2 linked regions of the Styela clava genome follow. The protein of the gene in region 1 binds, or shares a complex with, the protein of each later gene. Links are inferred from orthologs where the notes say so. Each region holds a gene or a part of one and is shown on either strand. Other genes may lie near its edges.

Region 1 (7,188 bases):
GTATAAACCCGTTTGTATGTAGTGCAATTACCGGTCAAAGGGACTTCAAATGTTCAGTGCATAAAGATGTAATGATAGTCGCTAAATGCATGGTCCCGTTATTTTACCCAGAGTTGTGCTGTTTTAATGGGCATGAAATCTCCAAATGGTTCTGATATTTCATGTATTGGCCTATGAGAGTAGCGGAGGCCAACGTATTTCCAATTCTTAATAAAATATACCAATCCAAATGCCCATTGTGGGCTATATTTTATGAATTAGAACAACGGAAATCTTAATAGTTCAAACAGAAAGATCTTTTTTGTCCCCTATTGTTCTTTTGTCATACTTATTTTCTAAGCGCAAGGTAAATGGGCTAATGCTGTGGTAACTGAACCGCCGTTGACGCCAGACTCAACAACACTTTGCTCCACGTAGCGCTAAGTTTTTATTATTGATATTACGCTATAAAACACAATCACGATGGTAAATTTCGCATTGAAAGTGTGATTTGACGTATTTGTCAAACCGAAGGAAAAACTAATTGCAGACTTGTAACAATATACAAATTGCTAATGGACAATGTGAAATGATACAAATGAATAAATAGAAAAAAAAAATCTGAACAAAAATGTGATTTGTCGTTATTAGTTTAAGAAATGGATGTGTGACTCCTTTTAGCAGTGTTGTTGGACAGAAATTGCTTGTCTTGTTAAATGATAATCAAAGATATTTTATCTTTCATCCATTTATTGGGACACCTCTAAACATTCCCGACCATCTATTTTGGTGGGATTACTCCACGAACGGCGTATGATATGGTACTAGTGCCACCCTAATATCATTACATATTTGCCTTAATTATTGAATACCGAAAATAAAATAAAACAGTCCTTTTTTCAAAGTTACTTTTTTGCTATCGGGCCTTATACCCTTTGTGTTTCGATTTTTGTGTTCAGGGGTTTACATGGGGAAAAACGCCTTCACTCCTCACAACTTCAGCAATCTTTGTCTTTCTGATAAGAAAAATGCCAAATTTTGTGACCTATACCGTCATCCGTATGACGCGATTATTTTCAGATTCTCTTGTGGTTCATACCTGAATTGGATTTCTTGTCAATAGCGCGTTCCTGGCAATAAAATAATTATACATGTATGGCAAAGTTATTACAAATCATCGGTTTGCCGTAATATATTGTCTCATTTGTATTCATTAAAGTCGACTTGGAGGGCTTATATTCTAACCACAAAGTGATATTGAAATTTAATAATGTAAAACTTGATATTTATGTATGTGAAAACCTGTTTTGAACATTTTAGATATAACGTCTTATCGAGTCTGCTGTGAGATAAACTTTAATAGATCGTTTTGGTAAGTTCTATGGTAAGTTGATGGTGATGTGAAAAATTGCAATTAATGGGCAAATGGACTTCAATTGTTCAGCACATAAAGATGAAACGATAGTCGCTAAATGGCAATTCATTTTAATATTTTTTATTATATTCGATTCTCCGGGGCCTGTTATTTGATCCAACGATTTGCTGATTTTTGGACACGAAGTCTTCATATGGTTCTTATATTTCGTGTATTGGGCTTTGGGAGGTGCGAAAGTCAACGTATTTCTATTTCTCGATAAAATAAGCCATTCCAAAGGACCATTGTGTATGTGTCTTGTATTTATCTGAATCGGATTATTTATTTTTCCCGCGTTTATAAACATTGGATGTTGACGAAAGGAACATTTGACTCCGTTGACGAAAAGGGCATTTCGTGAATCGCTGCTCGAATACCTACTGTGTGAAGAAAGTTGACGTAGGATAGAATAGGATTTTCATATTCATTACAGGAGTGAAGAAAGCCGATCATATGTTTGCTAACGGACTCCGATAACGAAAGGGACATTTCGTGTATGGTTGCTCGAGGACATACTGTTTGATTAAATTTTCGTGGGATAGGATAGGATTTTCATATTCATTACAGTAGTGAAAAAAGCCGATCATATGTTTGCTAACGGACTCCGATAACGAAAGGGACATTTCGTGTATGGTTGCTCGAGGACATACTGTTTGATTAGATTTTCGTGGGATAGGATAGGATTTTGATACTTATCACAGGGAAATGAACCCGCACACAGGGTAATATCAGATGTGGTGGCGAGCGTATTCCGGACGCTAAGCACGATGCGCCACACCCACGAGCCGCGCTCACTTGTTCACATACATTTTTAATGCGTTTCTGTTTTTCGGTTGGTATAACAATAAATTATATTTATCTTCTTCATCGTGATTCCTATTTTTATCGATAATTAGCTGTTTAAGTTTTCAATGAATTGCACGAACGATTGCGGGTGTAAACAAATGCAAAAATTGAAACTGATCACCAAGCACGGACACCCTGAAAAATCTATCAAGACCAATACAAAAAACAAAAACAGAGAAGAACACAATTAAAACAAACGTTGCTTTTTTTTGTTTTGGCAGAGTTTGCACTCATTGTTGGGGCAGATTTTCAGCAAGTGCCCACAAAAAATTACATCGAACGCAAAATATCTTTCTTTCTTCATCTACCCTTATAATTAAACTACATTATGTTTTTTTTATCGTTAACTTTGTTGATCACTTTAACGTGAATGCTCTATATTCCAGTAGGAGAGAAAGATTTTATTACCACAAACATTGTCAACAGTGTGGACTCAACACTATGATACATTTGAAGTAATTGAAAAAATATATATAACTTTACAATAATTGGTTGATACCTATTTGTGAGGATCAGTATGCCAGACCAGTTAGGTCGCCGAGGCCTCTGGTCCATGCTGTATATAAACAAGGGAGCTGTGCTCAAATATGTGAACACGTCACATGGTGTCGCTATTTTTTATTCTGACACATAAAAAACGAATCTCTTGAAGTCCACAGAAATTTTTGAAATAAGTAAAAGTAATAGCCTTCTGGCAAAAAATCAAACTTTAACAACTGAAAATTTCAAAGCAATTGGTCCAGTATTTAAAGAGAAAGCGATTTCGTCATGACGAAAGAGAAGAATAATACTAACAAGAGAGCTGTGCTCAAATATATGTACACGTCACAAAGTGTCGCTATTTTTTATTCTGACAAATAAAAAACGATTCTCTTGAAGTCCACAGAAATTTTTAAAATAAGTAAAAGTAATAGCCTTCTGGCAAAAAAATAAATCTTTAACCACTGAAAATTTCAAAGCAATTGGTCCAGTATTCGAAGAGGAAAGCGATTTCATCATGACGAAAGAGAAGTATAATACTAACAAGAACAACAACATTAGTGATGAAATATCGATAAAATAGAAATAAATATTTTCAAGTTAATAATGCAAGTCGTGATGTTAATAGGTCACGTGGAGTTTCTGAGTCCGGCCAGGTCCATAGAATCAGAACAATTATCAAGGGCTTAGATTAGTTTTTATAAATATTTATAATAGTTTTTGTAATTAAATAATTATTGGACCGGGTCAGGCTTTAATACACAGAGAAAAAATAAGGAGGCAATCGGATTATCACAGATACAACAATAATGATAGATAGGAAGTACTATTAACAATGGCTTTTTGGTGGAAAACAATAATAAAGTACATTGTAGTAGTTTGTGTCAGAAGAAAGAAAACATTTGAGTAGCCTATACTTTTACAAAAATTGAAAGTGGCTCGTGACCTTTAATATACAGTTTTATTACGGAATGGTTAAATTTATAGTATTATAATACAGTGAATACAGTGTTCGGAACATCTACTTTAAAGAATATTAAACTTAATATTTTTATCAAGATAATCATTATTCAAGATATTAAGACAAATTTGAGTATTCAAGGAGGGAGAACTTTTTTCAGTTTCTTATCGAAAACATGCACATAACTTTTTTGGAACCCTTTACGGGTCGGGAGCCAAGAGCCTCTATTTGTTTTGCAGAATGACCCACATAAATTGATGTGGTCCAAAAATGTGGATTTTATACATACTACTGTATACACTTACTTGATAATGTCAGTAATAATGTTATTCATGTAATAAAACCTCTCCCCGGTCATGGATATGGGCGGGTTTTAGGAGAACCGTTGCGAATGTAAATATTTTTTGCCGCAACAAGTCACGTGTCTCTCAGTGGCGGGAATCAGCTGTTGTTAGAAGTCATGCCGCGAGCCTTTGCTGTACTTTTCGTTTGTGGTGCTCGTTCGTGTATTTGTCTGTCGTTTTCATTCAATAATTTCTGAATGTGTTGTTTTTAGTATAATTTATTTTTAATATAGCCTAGCCTAATTTGTGAAGTTATTTTCACTATGGCTGATGACAGCATGAACGGAATACCATCCGACCCAAGAACCCCTATCAGCGACCCGGTCAGTCCAAGCAGCAGGGGAGCGCCTTTTGCATCAAGTCCAGGAGGTGCAGAAGATCTTCCACCATTTCAAGATGAGAGTGAAGCTGATGCTTTATTGGTGAGTATTTTGAGTAAGAGTTTTCAGTTTGGAATTTACCTGTTGATTCTGTAAAAAGGCACCGAGCTAATTCAATTTTGCACGCCAAAAATTTGCAATTGCTCACCAATGAAAATCGGTTTAAATGGTTTTAAATCAATAATCCAGTACCGGTAATATAGAAAAGCCAACAAACTGTAGCTCTACAATTGTCGACTACATAACACTGAGCTTGCAAGATTCTGAGATTTGGCCTGATCGAAAAATGTTAGTGACGAAGTATAGAAATAATATTCGGAGTCAAAGGTCAAACGTCCATTCTGTTATGATTCAACATATTTTTTATTCAATAATTCTACGTAAAAACACTCCCAAAATTAACGGATTATTGACAAAGTATGTTCATTTTGCTCTGATATAACGTATTTTTTATCCAATAATTTTACGGGGATGTACTGAACAGTACCGGTATCAAGTTAATCACAGTATAATAAACTTATACTTAGGCTATATACTAAGTCGCACAAACACTCAAGATTAATGACAAGTATAGAAATAATGTTTATGGGTCAAAGGTCAAACGTCCATATTTGCTCTGATTCGACGTATTTTGTATCCCATAATTTTACGTGGATGTATTGAACAGTATCAAAATCAGTTGCACGCGGGCGCAGTTGTTTTGCACGAAGTAAGCTATAATTGCACGCCTGGAATTCTGATTTGCACGCCGGAATTTCTGATTGCACGCCCGATTTCTTATTCAAAACGGCCATGAAATCCAGACTTGGGTAGGGTGGTGTAGCCAGTCTGCGGACGATTTCATTCAAACCGCTATAAAACAAAAACCAATATTTCTAACCCGTAAAGGTGCATTGGCATTTATTCTACACGCTAAACCTCTAACTTTCTACGGCCAGGGGTTCTACGGTCATATATTTTAAGAACACGGTTATTTCGAACAAAACTCGTCAAATTATAAACAAAGCACCGCATCACAGCAATCAAACAGACAAAAACACGGTGGTCGCAAATTGGTCGACAAAGATATTATCGGCGTATTGGAAATGCGCTCCCCCTATTCCTACTCCTTTGAATGTAAAAACGCGAAACTTTAAAGATAGTTAAAATAAACACAACTCTACCCACCTGCCAAGTTTCATCTTTCTATCTCTTATATTTGTATGGTTTTTCAAGCTTTTTTGAAGGGACAATGACTAGTTGGCGACATGGAAAATGATCCCGTTTTTTTTCTTCGGTCGGGTTTTTGGTCGTAACTTTTTTGTTTGTGGCCGCATTTTAGTGTAATTTCGCAGAGCTACGAGGGATAAGTGGACGATAACGCGTGAGAAATATCGTCGCGATTCGTTAATTTTTTCGGCAATAATTTAATCGATGAAGTTGATGGTCGCAAATAGGTCATGGCCGCAAAGTGGGTAAGCCACCCTAGCTCTAGGTCAGTCTGTAGCTGCATAGAACAAAAATATTACTGGTCTATGAAATGGAATCTTCCGGTATATCATCACCCTGTACCTGAAAAACTAATTTAGTATTCAAAGCAGTAAAATCATTCCTCTAAATACAAAGCGATGAGAATGCATACTTCATAACTGTCATAATTTTTAAATGCCAAATAAACACAGAAACAGGAATCCCTATCAGTCTGAAATAAAAATGGGTCAGAATACGGTATGGCGCATTTATTCGATTCCAAGAATAGCCACATTAAAGGACATCAAACCCCTCATTTATGAGACAGTCTGGGCCCCGATATTGGCATAAATTGGCAAAGCAGCTTTGCACAATATACTAAAAGGAAGTGCAATCTAAAATCGTCACCTTTGGATTTCTTGGTTTAGTTTAAAATTTACTGTAAAATTTTCAGCAAAAAAATGCAATTTGGGTCATGTGACGACCCCGCGATTAATAGGCTTGCACGTAATTGACAAAAATCAATTCCGTAATTACGGCAAAATCAATTACGTAATGACCCCGTAATTGCGATATTTTTCCATGCATTTAAACCTATCATAACAACCAATTGAATCCTCTTCTTTTCCGAATGGAACATTGAAGTTGGGTTTTCATATTCTTGGCAGTACTACACGCCGTCGGCAGATGTTAAAGGCAAATATCAAGGAGTGAATTCAAATTAATTTTATTCTGATTTTTATCTTTTGTGTTAGCTTTGGTTTTCCTTTATCACCTTCGCAAATTAACCGTCCCATTTTTATGCGATCAATTTTATTTTATTATTACCGACACTGGTATACGGATATTTATGGAAACGATAGTTTTTTAAAACCACCTTAGTGCTGAATAAAAATTACGGGTTTCTAATTTATTAACTAACGACGAGCGTATTCTCTCGTTTGATTATACTTGCGATTTCCTCGCGACGAAGACTTGTTTTTGCAGCGTCTTCTGCATTATCCGATATTACTGCCTTGTTAGCATTTTATAATAATAAATATTGATGTCGACTTATTGACGATATTCCGATTACCATGTTTCATTTTACATTCAATCATTTCGCGGACTGAATGTTTATAACATTATTTGCGATAAATTTAAGATCAAATATTATTTATTTGAGTATAATTTAAATATGGAACTTATATGATATGCCTTCTCCGAAAACACAAAGTTATATCGCAAAACAATGCATTTTGTGACATTTATTTTACACTCACGACATTTATTTGCTAACTCAAGTCGTCGATCCTATCGGCCAAGATTGACACAAGTTTGGTCGAGTGCCGGTGG
Region 2 (7,545 bases), on another chromosome or scaffold:
CCAATATAACACATACTGCATTTCTGAAAAATCTTTCCTGCATTAATAACGGGACTGAGTCTTACTATTCACTCTAAGTAACTAATACAAGTCAGCATTCAAAAATTTATAGGAAATTTAATAATTGCATTAATTACGTCCCTTCCGCTAGATGGGCATCATAAGTGAATTTTCGTGTCTTTGAATTTCAAATTTTACAACGTTTTTAATTTTATTACCTTAATTTTTGTTGCGGTCAATGCCAATGCTTCGATCTTGCCTAAAAAATCTTAAAAATTATGGGTATTAGAACCACCTAAGGCTACTTTGTCAGTCTAAGCACTGAATAATTTATAATAAAATATTATTTGCGTATGTTATTTATGATATAGCCTAGAAAAAAATAAACAATTCAAATATTCTTTCATCGATCCTTCATCCCCTTCTAACAGCGAATATTTCCATCGTGCCATAAATCCCGAATTTACATCCATTATTGTTTTGGTCAAAGACAACTTATTTATTGAAATATGTACGTAACTATTGCGACGAAGCAATGTCTTTCCATTCGCAAACCCTCTTGGACAGAAGCTATCGGCGTCTAAGTTATTTACCAGAAGCATGTCGGGTGTTTAAAAATGTAAAATTAGGTTTTTTGTCAACGGATTATCTCTAATGCCCAGGGCGTTGCAAAATACGGCGGTGAAATCCAATTTATACAAAAAGAATGGATTATGGGGATAGGTGATTGTGCAAATTTTGATTTAAAAAAACAATTTTACATCGACATTCTGATGAATATATATATAAAATAACTCCGCTTGGGTACAAGAACATGATAACACACACACTAAAAACTGTTTTGCGCCAACTGGTATTCCATTGCGTTGGTCGTTTGGGACGATAGACGAAATTGTGAACAAAACAAAAAATACGTAGTATTATCGGCTAATATTCATTGCCAATAATATTATTTCCCTCCGTTGTATTTGGTCGAGTTGTGTAGACCTACGTGTTGCCATTCTAATAACATGCTCTAATCCATATTAAAGCAAATCAATATACGTAACCTACGTATACAGATGTAGTTTGGTAATTATTTACGACAAGTTCTAGTTATTAGATTCCCCGCTTCTCGTAGTTCGTTCGAGAATTAGGAACTTGAAGTCAAAAATAAGACTAACTTCGAAAACGTTAAACCGTAGAATTTGGTTCACGTAGATGTCAAATAGTTGTACTGGGGTTTGGAACAAATTTTTCATTTTATTCTTTGGTCGCCTGTGTCTAAACAGACACACGCTCTTGGTATGATACCATGTAGCCTAGTTGTGTGTTATATATTCAACTTGATTAAATCAATAGAACTCTTATCTAAACTGTTGAACCGAGGATTACCGTACTTTCGGAAAGTCAAAAAAGTAACGTATCTAGCCCATCTGAGGTCTTCTTTTCAAAAAGATGTATAACCTGCACTCCAACACACACCTTATATGAAGAAACTGCACAACGGAAGTCTATACTTGACGTTTGTTGGACATAACCGGTATGATAAACAAACACGAGAGTCACTTTCACTATATGATCAAGCAGTTTTAGTGATTTTTCTTTCGGTGGATAGCACTAAACCCGTCCCAAATAATACATTGTTTAAATGAAACTGTTGGGTGACGCTAGAGCCCGAAAATTACAGTCATTACTGGTATGTATTTGTAAATCTGTTTGTTCTCTGTTTTTTGTTTTTTTTTGCATTAACGATTCAAAAATTTGACTCACGGTCATCGAAGAACAAAGTAATTTGTCATAAATTCAATCCATATTTCGCTATGAAATCGCGCCCATTCGCATTTTCAACTAAGCGATTTGCTTTCGAATAAGAAGGGCTCACAGAGGTCAAAGAAGATCTGAATGGTGGCGCTGTCGACCAACTGGTGTTGGCGGTGCTTTTTGCCAAATTGTGCCGTGATTTCGTTCATGTATTTAGGATTGATAAAAAATGTAATAAACTCGAAATTGTATTAAAAAATAATTTTGGTAAGACCAAGGCTAGAGGGAAATCAGAATATGGGTGAGATTTTTCTTTTGTCTCGGTTGACACTTACATCTGTACACAGCCTACTGCTGTACTGAAATGAAACAATGGCGGCATGGCATTGTCAAATTAGGAGGTCTGGAAGTTATCAGGGCGGGAATTCTGAAATGATTGTACTGTTGTATAACTTAAAAAAAAATTTTTTTCTAGAATTTGCATCTTGAAAAAATTGTTGAGAGATTTTCCATGCGGAAAAAATGAGACACATTTGAATACCTTAAATCTTGCCAGTTGAGCAAGTGAAACTAAGTTTCAGTTTAAAAATCAATTTCTTTTTGCATTGCAATTTTTGGTTATAAGTATAAATGTATTTAAACTCAGTAATCGACATAGAAGACTTTAGAATACTGAAATAATTGATGAAAATTAAGAAATCTGCAAGCAAACGATTTTTGGCCATATTTTTATGAAACGACCTTTTAAAAAAGATGCATTCTTTTGCATCTTCTTTTCTTTTCGTATTTTCAAATATTTTGACTACAAAATACCTCCATCATAATACACAAGGTTACCCCCCGCAAAAAACCATTTGCACAAAAATCCTTTCCTACAAAACCACATTCTCACAAAATTCTATTCCCCAAAATTTCATCCACGAAGAAGCTCTCCACATATTCTGTATTTATCCAGTTTGGCACTGCGGCACATTTTGCTCGCAATACAGCGATATGTCATCTCCAGTCTTTATAATTGCCATCGATACTCTCAACACCATGTCTGTATGTGGTTTCAACTGGTGGTCTATGTCGGACATCTTTTACCGCTATTTTTGTTTTCATTCGTTTTGCGTTTTTACTCCCTTTTGGTTATATTTGCTTTCTTTATACTTTTGGCATTAGCACTAATGATTTTTTTTTTTCAAAAGTTTTGAGACAAAAATTTACACAGATCATCGCCATATTTATAGTCATTTTTTATTTATGCTGGAGACATTTAAAATAAATAAATAATTAAAATAAGATCAAGTCCTTACAAACACCTCACTCCATAGCCTTTGTATACCTCGTGCAGCTGCTCTAAAATTCAAACCTGCTGTCTATGTCCAACAGCCATTCATGGATGAGGCCATAAAATGCTATAAGTTTAGAGCTTTTCTACCCATCATGTCTATACATCTGGAATAATACAAAAACAGCCAACTAACCCAATAATTATGTGATACATAAAGTCTTAGATATTTGTTAAATTTGAACATGATATTTTTATCATTTTCATAACATTTGAAACGAGAATATCGGTCTTTCTGACCTAAGACTTATCGATCGAAAGTTAGGGGATCCCCCAAAACAGCGCTCTTATTCCATAGTGACACCTTGTGTCCCATCACTGATTAATTAATAACTCTCTAATTATACGGCATAATTCGCCCGAAATCAATAGGCTTCTGGTCCGAGATATGATGAATGCACATGCAAAATCTGGAGCAGATTCAATCTCGCTTTCGTGAGATATGGCGTGCATCTAACATACAGACAAATACCTATCGACATACTTACCGATTAAAATCAATAAGTAATGATGCATCTAATTATCGGGTATAATATAATTTTCGATAATATAATTTATCATTAAAGTTAAATGGGAGTGTAGATAATGCTTCTAAAATCTTGCTTTAGATTTATTAGTATAGTTTCGTCAAGCTATAAAAAATAAGGAACTATGGCGTCTCTTGCTGCCCGTGTTTTTTGCCGCACTGGACTTGTAGCTCGACGTTTGGTGGCTCAGAGCACAAGAACTTACGCAGATGCTGCACCGGCTGTTGCACAATCAGAGGATATGGTTTTTACGTTTGCATCTCCAGTAGAGGCCTTCTACAATGAAAGCACTGATGTGAAACAAGCTGATGTACCCACCGGGGCTGGGGTCATTGGTATTCTAGCAAAGCACGTTCCTATTTTCGGAGTACTTAAACCCGGTGTTCTAACCGTATTCGAAAAAGATGGAAAATCAAATAAGTTTTTCGTCAGTAGCGGATCTTTTACGGTGAACGAAGATTCTACGGTTCAAATAGCCGCAGAAGAGGCCGTAGCTTTGGATCAACTAGATGTCAATGCCGCAAAAACAAATTTAACAAAAGCTCAAGCGGAATTATCGTCAGCAACAACGGATATTGAAAAGGCTGAAGCGCAGGTGGCAATAGACTGCAACGAAGCCATCATCAGTGCCGCGTCATAGAGACTTATTCTGTTGAAATTCAAAATTTTATGGCTTGATTTATGTTATATTAATCCATTGGTGTATCTGTTTGGACTATCTTTATGACAATGAAATTCCATTTCAATATCCTTTTGTGTTTATTTATTCTGTTCTGACTTATGTCTAACCATACATAGACTAGGTAAAATTGGAAATTTCAATTCGAAAATTGCAACTGAATAATTTAATTATCTAATTATAGTATTTAAGAATGACTATCTGAATTGCTTAGAATTATTTTTTCTGAAAATATCTTATTCCAATATAACATGAATCACAAGTGTTTCTGTTTCTAGCATAGAACCAACTAATGCTAATAATCTAAATTCATCATCATGTCTGTTTCCTTGGATATAGAAGCTTTTTATCGTCGTCTCAAGAAAATATATACTGCTTGGAAGGTAGGGATTATGCTTAAAATTTCATTTAGAAAAATTCAAACGTTTTTGATCGCATGCATCCATTTTGTTATTGTTTATGAATGATTTGTATCGGTATATACTCAAAAACGCATTTTGTGTTTCCCAATTGAAATTTTATAAATTGGATTTGATCGGTATGTTATATTTCATAATATTTACCGTACATATATTTTCAAAATGCTAACAAGCTGAAGACTTTTTGAATATAGGATGCTAGTGGAGATGACGGATTCTCTAAATCAGATGCTGTTGTCGTGGCGATGGGAAGTGATGAAGATGTTGTTTACTCAAAATCTACAGCTATCCAGGTCATATCTCAATTTTGATTTTCAAAATCTTAATAGCTGAATCACTAGCAAATTGTTGTTGCTTAAATCAGACTGCCATTACTGCAGGCATAGCTTTATTAAGATATTTTATATGCTTTTTTTAGACATGGTTGTTTGGATACGAGCTAACTGATGTGATCTTGGCTTTCTGTGAGAATAGCATATCGTTCATGGCAAGTAAAAAGAAAGTAAGAGTTTTTTGTTTGTTTTATATTCATTATATTTAGAAATGCTTATGTTGAAATATTTTTGATTTTTTGTCTTTTGTTTGAGAAACATTCTTTTTGTTCAGATTGAGTTTTTGAAACCAGCGGCAAATACAAAGAACAATGAAAATGCGAATGGAATTCCTGAAATCAACTTAATTCAGAGGGAGAAAGATAACAACACTGAAAACTTCCAAAAAATCATTCAGTTCTTAAAGTCGAGCAAAAATGTAGGTTCATAGTCACAGTCAAGTATATTTTTTCCAACCAGTAATATAATATACAGATACAAATGCAAAAAATATGCAAAAAAGTAAAGACCATAATTTTACTGGGGAATGGAAGCCGCGGCGAACCAAAGTCGGTTATCGAGCAGCGGTACCCAATGTTCTGCTATCTAATTAAGATTTAGAAGATCAATATATTATGTTTTGGCGAGAAGTTCTTGTTAGATTTTTATTCCATGTTTAAAATCATTATTTCTTGAAAGCTTTTCTCTATTGTTATTTATTCCAGACATTGAAACATCCATATAGTATGACAAATTAATAAATGTAACAAACCAGTAACTAGCAATAAACGATTAAATAGTGTATGAAATTAATAAAATATTCAGACCATACAACATAGAAGAACATAAAATAATGAAATAAACTCACCTAGATCTGTCTATTAGACCTACCTTATTTGTGCTATTTTATGGTTAATAACTTTATATGCTTTCACGGGTTCTTGAAATGAAGCTTATACTCAAACTAATTTTTCTTCATTACAGGGTAAAACAATAGGAGTTTTTGCAAAAGATAAATTCTCGTCCAAATTTATTGATGCATGGAATGAAGTGTTGAAAAAGTCTAACTTGAATAAGGTATGTCACAGGAATGCTCCTTTTTTGTTATTTTACTCTAATTTTCTACAGTATTTTTTTCTTCAAATATAATTCAGATATAGGCTATTACTTTTATTAATTCTCTGGCATTTTATTTTTAAAAATTTACAAGTTTTGTACTGAGAAATCAATTATATGGCTGAGCTACTATTTTTATATGTATACTGTTTATATACTTGTTTCTTGAAGATATTTTATTCATTTCTATCTGTATTTCTTCATGTTTTATATATATACAGGGTGAGGCAAAAAAAAAAACTGTAAAACAGTTTACCAATGTGGAATCATAACTTGATAAAAGTCTGTCTCTGTCTGTGAGTCTCATCAATATTACTTCACCTTCATAATTTTAGATTGATGTATCAGCAAATGTGGCATCAATAATGGCAGTCAAAGAAGAATCGGAATTGAATCTACTGAGAAAAGCATCAGGAATAACCTTGGAAGTTTATAGCAAAGTTTTCAAAGAATATATGAAAGATGTTATAGATGCTGATAGGGTTCGTACCGTGTTCAAGTTGATTTATTCACGAAAAACTCTGCATACATAATGTTCCAAGAGAATTAATCTTTGCTATGTTAAGGTTTTTCTATGTTCTGTCCAGATGATTATTGATGTTTAAGAAGGACTTCTTTGGAATTAAGATATGGTGTTGGTACAGTGAAACCATGATAACAAATTGGCGAGATCTCATTTCACGCATATGGAATGAGATTGTATTCACCTGTCGCTATAAACTCCTGACTTTATCTTATTCAAGCATCCTTGTAACACGAGTCAAATAACAGATCCTGCAGAACATAAAACGTAAAACGAAGGATGGGCAGTTTATCGCACAACCCCCTGCGCATTTCAAAACATGATATTTGTCTCTACACTCTAGCCATCTCTTTAAGAATCAACCAAGATGACTATACTTATGCTAATTTTCCAGAGAGTTAAGCATTTCAAAGTAGCGGAATACGTTGAAAAATCTCTTGAGGACAAACAGTATCTACGTGGAGCAGATCCAACTTATGTGGAGTCTTGTTATCCCCCCATCGTACAGAGTGGCAGCAACTGCAACCTAAAGTTCAGTGTTACTAGGTAAGTTGGCCAGTTGTTCGTTTTCGAAAGCATGGGCTTGATGGTGGAGGAAGCCGTATCTGACCAGCGGTTACGTGAACCACCCTATGTCGGCGAGAAGTCAAGCAATCCTCTCGCACATAACTATCCCCGCATGAGATTCGAACCTGCGCACTCACACAGGGTAACAAAAGGTGAGGTGGCGAGCGTATTCCTATTGCTTAGCACGATGCAACACACCGCCGAGCCAAACAAAGATCAATTAGATATCAGTGGTTGTACAGTGCCTTGTTTGGAGCAAAAAGCATTATCATCTGTTTTATGAAATATGTATGTGTAATCTGTATCATCCTGATATTTTACTCAGTG

Evidence for each region.
Region 2: the proteins of DNA replication licensing factor mcm2-like (region 1) and FACT complex subunit SPT16-like are in contact, whole or in part, in a crystal structure (PDB 8YJF), measured with the Homo sapiens proteins. The link is inferred for Styela clava from reciprocal best matches to the Homo sapiens genes MCM2 and SUPT16H. Residues at the interface, in NP_004517.2 of Homo sapiens: Ile73, Gly74, Asp75, Met77, Tyr81; in NP_009123.1 of Homo sapiens: Gln898, Ser899, Leu900, Asn901, Lys904.

What each region holds. Positions count from the first base shown.
Region 1 is NC_135252.1:13,315,820-13,323,007, forward strand, and holds the start of DNA replication licensing factor mcm2-like, read left to right. Parts: upstream 1-4,187; 5' UTR 4,188-4,287; coding exon 4,288-4,446; intron 4,447-7,188. UniProt on the Homo sapiens protein: Acts as a component of the MCM2-7 complex (MCM complex) which is the replicative helicase essential for 'once per cell cycle' DNA replication initiation and elongation in eukaryotic cells.
Region 2 is NC_135262.1:5,714,773-5,722,317, reverse strand, and holds the start of FACT complex subunit SPT16-like, read left to right. Parts: upstream 1-4,542; 5' UTR 4,543-4,599; coding exon 4,600-4,665; intron 4,666-4,895; coding exon 4,896-4,994; intron 4,995-5,119; coding exon 5,120-5,203; intron 5,204-5,307; coding exon 5,308-5,451; intron 5,452-5,996; coding exon 5,997-6,089; intron 6,090-6,463; coding exon 6,464-6,610; intron 6,611-7,045; coding exon 7,046-7,197; intron 7,198-7,543; coding exon 7,544-7,545. Other genes in the region: ATP synthase F(1) complex subunit delta, mitochondrial-like, read left to right, coding at 3,728-4,243. UniProt on the Homo sapiens protein: Component of the FACT complex, a general chromatin factor that acts to reorganize nucleosomes. The FACT complex is involved in multiple processes that require DNA as a template such as mRNA elongation, DNA replication and DNA repair.